Rattus norvegicus: one gene and its partner. The protein of the gene in region 1 interacts with the protein of each later gene in a pairwise test. Links are inferred from orthologs where the notes say so. Each region holds a gene or a part of one and is shown in the gene's direction. Other genes may lie near its edges.

Region 1 (4,441 bases):
TGGGTGAGATCTTTAAAGAGGCACACACACACACACACACACACACACACACACACACACACACAGAGCCAGGGGAGAGAGGGAAAAGCAACCATATAGGGAAGCCGAGGGCAGAAGCAAGGGAGGAGGAGACCCAACTCCCAGCAGTGTTAGAGAGAGAGAGAGAGAGAGAGAGAGAGAGAGAGAGAGAGAGAGAGAGAGATTGATTTGGTCATCACAGTTCAGTGCCAAGGAAGGTCACCAAGTGAGAACTGAGACTATCCATCCCCTAGCGAACTGGGAATTCCTGTTTGGCTCATACTTCTCCATCCCCTGTGTTCAGGAAAGTGTCTCCTTTATGCTAACAGGGTTTCTTAAATGGTGAATAAGTAAGTCAGACATGATTGTCCAGCACTTGGGAGACAAGTGAGAAAAATGGCTGTGAGTTCAAGGCCAGCCTGGCTGATTTAGCAGGTTCGTGGCCAGCCCAGCTGCTTACATGTAGGAAGCCCCTGTCTCAAAAACAAAGTGTTGGAAGGAAGATTGTTCGGCAGATAAAGGTTCTTGACGTGTGTTAGAACCCCATAACCCTCACAAAAAGGCTGAAATCTACAGAGGGCTTTGGAGCACATGTTCTTCCACCTCCGGGGGGAGTTCGCACACACATGTTTTTAATGCAAATATTGGAACCAGACAATGTGGCATATGCCTTTAATCCCATCACTGGGGAGACATTTCTGTAGATTTCTGTGGATTCCAAGCCCAGCCTGGTCGACATAGTGAGTTCCAGGACAGCTAGGGCTACATAGTGAGACCCTGTTTTGAAGGGGGGCGGGGGAAACCTGAAAAACAAAACAATAAAAGCCAATATTGGTAGTTGATATGGTGGCCAATTCTCTGTAACCCAACATTTGGGAAATGGAATCAAGAGAATCAGGAGTTCAAGGTTATCCTTAGTTACCTAGAGTTCTAGGCTGACCTGAGCTACACGAACCCCCTCTTCGCCCTTCACACACACACACACACACACACACACACACACACACACACACACACACACTCAAATCAAAACTGAAACCAAAGCGGGAGAAAAAAGCTTTATAAATGAAAGTTAACTCTAAAGAAGCAAACAGCCACGTGGAAAAGAGAGGTTTAAGGCACCTCTACGACCCTTGCCTAAGGACTTCTCCAAGAAGCCATGGGGTCTAGGTTCATGGTCATCCTCTCCCGGAAGACCCCACAGTACTTCTCTGCTTGTGCACAGCCAAGTCAAGGCCTCCAGTATCTCCTTGGTCAGAGACTCAAAATTCCAGATCCCCATGTCTCCCTCTAGAAAAAGGGAGGATCCTTAAGCACCTACTTCCAGGGAGACTAGGCGATGACACTCTTCAAGGTCAGCCCCTCCCATTCAGAGACTAAGCTCTCCCGCTTCACCCGGGACTCCTAGAACTGTGGGCGGGGCTCCGCCTTGAACCAGGCGTGGCCAAAAGAAGAATTTAAAAACTCGCGGGGGACCTGGCTTTGGATCGGGGGACCCGGCGGCGGCTCCGCGGGGCAAGCAGCGAGGCTGGCGCAGCGCCGAGGCCGCGGCCCTGGGGGCCCACAATCTGCATCCAAGAATCCTCGAGGTAAGGGATTAACCTTGGGGTAAAGCGAGGCACGCGCCTTTCTGAATGCTTTGAGGGTTGACTGGAGCGTAAAGCTGGGCCCTGAGAGTTGGGGATTCCCGACGTTTAAGGGAGCTGGCTGAAGAGGAGAGGCTGGGATCCTGGACTTCTGAGTCCTGGGAGTGTTGGACATTAAGAGAGGTATCTGGGATCTTAGGGGTTGGGGTGCAAGGACTAGGAAGCCTGATACCGGGGATTCTGAAAGAGGACGAAGTGACTCGGACTCCTTCACCCAAGGAGGGGTTGCATTGCATCCTTCGAGTTGCCGTTATGGACGCAGGCTTGGGTCTTGAAGGTCGGGCGGCGGACCTCAGGGGTCCACTCTGGTCGAGACCAGCCCCGCCCTGGGATTTCCCAGCGCTCTACCGGTGCCGGGTGCCTGGGCCGAAAAGGAATTCCCCGTGAGCGGAGATTCCACGGGCGCCGCGCTTCGCTGCGTGCCCCGCCTCCGAGCCAGACACCTGCGGCGTGCGCGTGCGGAGCGGAACTGGGAGGTGGAAGATTCCCTTGCGTGAGCGCCGTGACGTCAGCGCGCGGCGTCTTTTCTCGAGGGTTTCCGAGTCGGTCCCCGTCTGGCTTTAACCCTTCTTGCGCTGGAGTCAAAGCTGGGAAGTCTGAGCTAGGGATTTGCTCTTCTCCGGTGGAGGGAACCGGACTTGCAGGTCCCAGAGGAGGCTGAGGGGGTCTGTACTCCTGGGTTTCTGGATGAGAGACTGCCGCGCCTATGGGATACAGGGGCATCGCGGGATGGTGGGTCCCTGCTATTCCCAAGTCGGCCGAGGTGGGGACAGGAGGTTTGCGACACCAGATATCTGGATTTCTGAGGAACTACTCTGCCACTGATTCTGGCAGAGAGCATGAAGCAAGAGTGATGGTCCAAGACTGTGCTGAGGACACTAGGCTTGCGCCTAGTCCCAACATGTCAGATTCTAGAACAGAGAAATTATTTTGCTGTTGTTTTGAGACCGAGGTCTCAGGTAGCCCAGGCTGGCCTCTCACTGATATGTAGATGAGCTTGGCCTGCCACGAGAATGCTGGATTGCAGGGGTGTGCCTCTACTTCTAGTTTAAAACAGAGACATTGGGAACCTGGAAATGCCTTTTCAGGAAGTTGAGATTGGCAAACCCCACCCCTCTTCAAGTGTTAGGCCTGGTAGCCTAGGTTGGGATTTTTTACGGATGTGGTGATGCTTCAGAGGAGTGGGATGTCTCCGGAGGAGATAGATGCTTCAGAGAAATGCTAGCCTCCCCACTTCCTCAGTTTCCACTACGGTGGTGGAAAGTTGGTGCAGAGGAAAAGCGTGGAGTAAAAGGAAGGAAATGGCGGAGGCGGGCCCTGCACTCAACATCTTCTATTGGCTTTGTAGTTCTCCAGTTTTTCCGCGCTCGAGGGAAAGGAGGGCGCGCGCCCACATCCACTCCCAGCCACCCACCGCTGCCGCTGAGGGTGCATTCGGGTGACTTAAATATTCCTGATGACTTCCTTCTGTCTTCCCACACACAGTGAGTCGGCCTGAGCGCAGTCACTGCCCAACACAGACCGTAAAGAAGCTTCTGGAAGAACAGAGGCGCCGACAGCAGCAGCCAGAGGCTGCTGGGGTACCGGTGAGTCTCTGGAAATCCCGCATAGGACATGAAGCCATGTGCTCTGGGGGAGATGGGAGTTGTAGTCCTGACTCTGATGCTTTACATGTGGCGGGGGATGGACCTGAAGAATCTTGCAGATATATAAATTCATTTTCTTTGCATTGCAGGGACACTTCTCCCCTCCTCTGGTCCAGCCACTGACCCCATCTGTGAGCGAGTCAGAGGCAGGTAAGAATAGAAACTTAGCTCGACCCACCTCTCAGAACTTTGGGGACCGAGGAGACAGGCAGCTCTCATTATTGTTGAGACATATGGGAAATTTTAATGGCTGGCCTGCCATTGTTGCACATGTCTGTATTTCCAGTACTCCGGAGGTTGAGAGGAGAGGATTGCCATTGGGTTTGAAGCCACACTTTTTTTTTTTTTTAAACTAGCGAGTTCCAGGCCACCTAGAGCTATCTAAGACACCTGTCTTCAAACAGAAACCCCTGGATTTTGACATTGGTTTTCAATAGCCCAGTAGTCTGTGACTGTTGCCCTCAGGGACTCAGGGTTTGAGATTCCAGGAATCCAGATCCCAGTTGCTTGAGACCCAGGCGGCCAAGCACCCCAGCTTGTTGATGTCCCAGGATTGGAGGACTCAGCTCTCAGTGCCTCAGTGCCTCAGTGCCTCAAGAGACTCCAGGTTCACTATCCCTGGCTGTGTCTCTGGGCTCTAATAACAAGCTGGTCCTGCCCACCCTCTCGGTTTCAGGCCATACTCACTTCCCTGCCTTCCAAGAGACTGTGGATTCTGGACCTGGCAACCTGGCTCCCCCTTCAGGCTTCACAGACTGGGACTCCAGCATCCATGCTCCGTATGCAGAAGGCTCTTTCCCATACTCTGCTTCTGAAGGCTTCCTGACTCCTGATCTCTACCCAGTGTCAGACCCAGGCCGGTCAGGCCCATTTCCCCTGGCAATGGAGGTAAACTATAGAGTGGGGACAGATGCTTAAGGGCCCCTAAAAATTTCCCCGTGGTGCCCAGACTGGTGGTGCAGGCTTGTCATCCCAGCTCTTCAGGAAGCAGAGGTAGAAGGATTGCCTGGGCTACAGAATGAGTTCAAGGTTGCCCTAGGCACATGAATAAGACCTCGTCCTTTAAAAAGAAGAAGTGGAAAACAGAAAGACTATTGGGAGTTTTGCTCTGTGGTCCAGCTTTTTCCTAGC
Region 2 (3,810 bases), on another chromosome or scaffold:
TAAGTTTTAATGTACTGTTCATCCTGGCTTTTGTTGCACTCCCCTGCCACCCACCAAGGTAGCAGGGTTTAGGGAACCCTGAGGAAGTCCTGAGGCATAGAGGAGCTTCCCAGCACATGGCTTCCTTTTGTCTGGTGTTCTCTAGGGAAATACCACATCAGAAACTTTTCTATCAAATTTACTCATTTACATCAGAAAATGCCCTCTCTCCCTTTTTTAGAAGTTACTAAGTATATGACAAAGAACAAAGCCAATTTTATATCAAAATGCCTTAATACTAATGTAACAAGTAAAAAGAAATCAGTTTCCACCTGCTTCAGCCTCTGCTTCAGAGGTTGCTTTTCTGAGTTGGTATTGTTTGGTATTATGTGTATGGTCTTACTGATTTGATAACCGTGACGTGTGGACCTGCGTGTGCGTGTGTGTGTGTGTGTGTGTGTGTGTGCATGGGAATAGTGCCCAAGCACTGTGGGAGTCTCCTGCTCAGAAGTAGTCTCTCGCAACAGCAGATTAGAAAGATCGCCTTGGATGACGCAGAGAACAAATGATTTATGTCTTGACTGGTTGTGGTTTTTCAGGCCCACCACAGCAGTACTCAGGCCAGGAAGACTATTATGGGGACCAATACAGTCATGGTGGACAAGGTCCTCCAGAAGGCATGAACCAGCAATATTACCCTGATGGTAATCTCTCTAATGTTACCCTTCCCGTTTTCTATCCCTGCCCAGTATTAATGTAGAAAGCATTTCACAACTTTTTAATGAGGGGCGAAGAAACTACCAACTTGTTTCTTCATGTAGAAGCATTTGGTATTGTATAGCTCTGACAAGAAGGACACTGGTTTGTAATTAACTCAAGGTATATTTGTGTGGTCACTGTTGGTGCTATCTGGAGCTACATTTCCATCACTCCAGTGTCTCTCGTGGGAAAGAGGGTCTTTTTATGTTTAGGATTGTTCATCTGAGCCTAAAGCAAATGCTCTACAGGTTTCTTCTTCCTCTTTTTCCTCCTCCTCCTCCTCCTCTTCCTCCTCCTCCTCTTTTTCCTCTTCTTCCTCTTTTTCCTCCTCCTCTTCCTCCTCTTCCTCTTTTTCGTCCTCCTCCTCCTCTTCCTCCTCTTCCCCTTTTTCCTCCTCTTCCTCTTTTTCCTCCTCCTCTTCCTCCTCTTCCCCTTTTTCCTCCTCTTCCTCTTTTTCCTCCTCCTCTTCCTCCTCTTCCTCTTTTTCATCCTCCTCTTCCTCCTCCTCCTCCTCCTCTTCTTCCTCTTCCTCCTCTTCTTCTTCCTTGGTATTTTTAGAGAGATTTAATTCATCTGCTATAAAGTTCACCCATTGTTTTGCTTATATTAAGAATATAGCTCTGTAAGACTATAGAGAATGTAGTTCTTGTTTCATTTATTTATGTTCCATTCTTGGGAAGTAATTGTGCCTTATATGCTTGCTATTGAGGAAATGCTTGTCCACAATATAGCAATAGATAAGGTGCACTGAATCGTGCTGAATAGCCAAGGCATTTGGATTTTTAATTTAGTGGCTTCTCCCCCACCTCCTTTAAAAGGGAACATGAATTGTAAGAAGTTACCACTAAAGAATGCTACACACTAAGAAAGTACATGGAAAATAATCTAAGTGCACAAGTAGATTTTTACTAGGCATTTTTTTGTTTGAAAATTTTGTATTTTAATGTTGAAGAAAAATTATCTAAACATGTAGAACTGGTAAAATAATTTCTTTTTAGTGGGTACAAAGAAATATCATGGGGTAATTTGTCTTTTAGTGAAGTGCTTTGCTAAAGTATTTTATCAAGTAAACTCTTTTGTTATTATTTTTTTTCTTTTTTCTTTTTTTTCGGAGCTAGGGACCGAACCCAGGGCCTTGCGGTTGCTAGGCAAGCACTCTACCACTGAGCTAAATCCCCAACCCCTCTTTTGTTATTTTTAATGTAATTATATGGCAAAGAAACTTCAGGCTGAAGTTTTAGGACCTCTTGGCTAGAACCTGATGGAAACCAACAAGATGGGGTCTGTGTTCAAGTGGCATTTCATCTGCTGCTTCTCATCAGTGCATGAAGCATAAAGGGGGATCTGCATTAAACACCGACTGTCACCAGCTTTACACACAAGAAGTTTGTTAATGATGTGTGCAACTCTGGTTAGAACTGTGTGCTTTTATCTCAGGTTTTCTTGCCATTGGTATTCAGAATGTCAGTGCTTTTCCTCTCCTTAATTCTTTGTGGATATATTAAGCTTTTTTCTTAAATTTAAACTTTAATAATAGTACATTTACAGAAAAATTTAAAAGGTGACATCTATGTGGTAAACATAAGTAATCTAAGAATAAATTACCCTTTAAAGTCAGCTTTAAAGTGCACTTAAGCAGTTGTGTTGGACTTGATGGTTTCGGGTCCTGAACATTTTCAGAAATGTGAAATTTGCCTTATTTTAAAACCTTCTTGTTAAAAATAGGCACATTATTTTTCTAACTGTTAAAACGTAAAGCTATAATTACGTGTACTAGCTTGTTCTTCATTTAAGTAGTAATGTTTTCACGGGTGTGAGTACAGTAGGTCTTGACAGAGTGTTCCCCTCAATTGCACTCCCCAGGCAATTGAGCATCTTCTCTCAGGTCCAGATGACCTTGCCCATAAGTACATGAACGAGTGCTTGGCTGAGATTTTCTGCAGAGGGCCAGGCAGCAAAGATTTGGTCCTTGTAGGCCATGTGGTCTTGCTCTCACATTGCAGACCTGTCATGAGAACAGGAGAGCTGCTGTGGGCAGCAGCTACGTGAGTGGATTCCGGTGGTACTTCTATCTCAGCTGACCACTGGCCTTAGTAAGCTGGCGGTCATGTATTGCCAACTCTTAAAGTGGCTTGGGGGCTTTCAGACTAATGCGGTGAATGTAATATTTATGTGGAACTATAGTCCTTCCTCCTAGGCCTTTTCGGAACATTAGTACCAAGTTTTAGCAACTGAAGACATTAGTCTGCATTTTGTTTTTAGGTGAAACATTAAAGAATAAAAGATTAGTCTAGTCTACTGGTGGAAGTTACTGAGTCATAAAACTTAAGGTGTTCTCCAACTCAGGAAATACACATTTTATGAATGTTGATATGCAGAATACTCTAGAAATATTTCTAAAGATGTTTAAAATGACAGCACTATAAGATACATTCTTACTTGGGTGACAGTCAGTTGGGTCCCTGTGAATCTGAGGCCAGCCTGGTCTACAGAGGGAGCTCCAGAAACCCAGGGTAAGAGACCTTATCTTTAAAAAAAATGATTTTTTTTTTGGACCTCATATATTTTATATTGTTTTTAGTGTATGCTGTGGAAATGTCCACCCTCAGAACAGGGGTTTGATAAGATGTCATAACTTGCATCCCGTGTTCATTCTGATTTGACTCGATTTACTTACACGTGAGAGGCCTAAATGTTCTCATTCTCTTTTTAAAATAGAATGCAAGGGTTTTTTGCCCTCAGTGAGGATTATCGCAGTTAGGAGGATGAGTGTAAATTTCTAAGACTACTGCTCTTTGCCTTGAAATAGTGTGCTGTAATCTCATGGTGAAAGCATTCACGTTGGTAAATACTTGCTAATGCAATTAAAATTATTTTTTTATGTATTTCCATTTCTTTTTTTTTTCTTCAGTTTTATCTTAAAGTTTAATTGTAGGGTTTTCACTCAGTGGCCATTAACGTTTCTTCCTGTCTCTTGTCGAATTGATGTAGGTCATAATGATTACGGTTATCAGCAACCGTCGTATCCTGAACAAGGCTACGATAGGCCTTATGAGGAGTCCTCACCACATT

What was found.
Region 2: the proteins of Nfkbid (region 1) and Ss18 interact in a two-hybrid assay, tested with the Homo sapiens proteins (2 studies listed by BioGRID and IntAct). The two-hybrid records come from large-scale screens. The link is inferred for Rattus norvegicus from reciprocal best matches to the Homo sapiens genes NFKBID and SS18.

What each region holds. Positions count from the first base shown.
Region 1 is NC_086019.1:94,806,950-94,811,390, forward strand, and holds the start of Nfkbid (NF-kappa-B inhibitor delta), read left to right. Parts: upstream 1-1,616; 5' UTR 1,617-3,250; intron 3,251-3,399; 5' UTR 3,400-4,192; coding exon 4,193-4,198; intron 4,199-4,441. UniProt on the Homo sapiens protein: Regulates the expression of IL-2, IL-6, and other cytokines through regulation on NF-kappa-B activity. Functions in the regulation of inflammatory responses.
Region 2 is NC_086036.1:6,057,901-6,061,710, reverse strand, and holds part of Ss18 (protein SSXT), read left to right. Parts: intron 1-578; coding exon 579-683; intron 684-3,729; coding exon 3,730-3,810. UniProt on the Homo sapiens protein: Appears to function synergistically with RBM14 as a transcriptional coactivator. Isoform 1 and isoform 2 function in nuclear receptor coactivation. Isoform 1 and isoform 2 function in general transcriptional coactivation.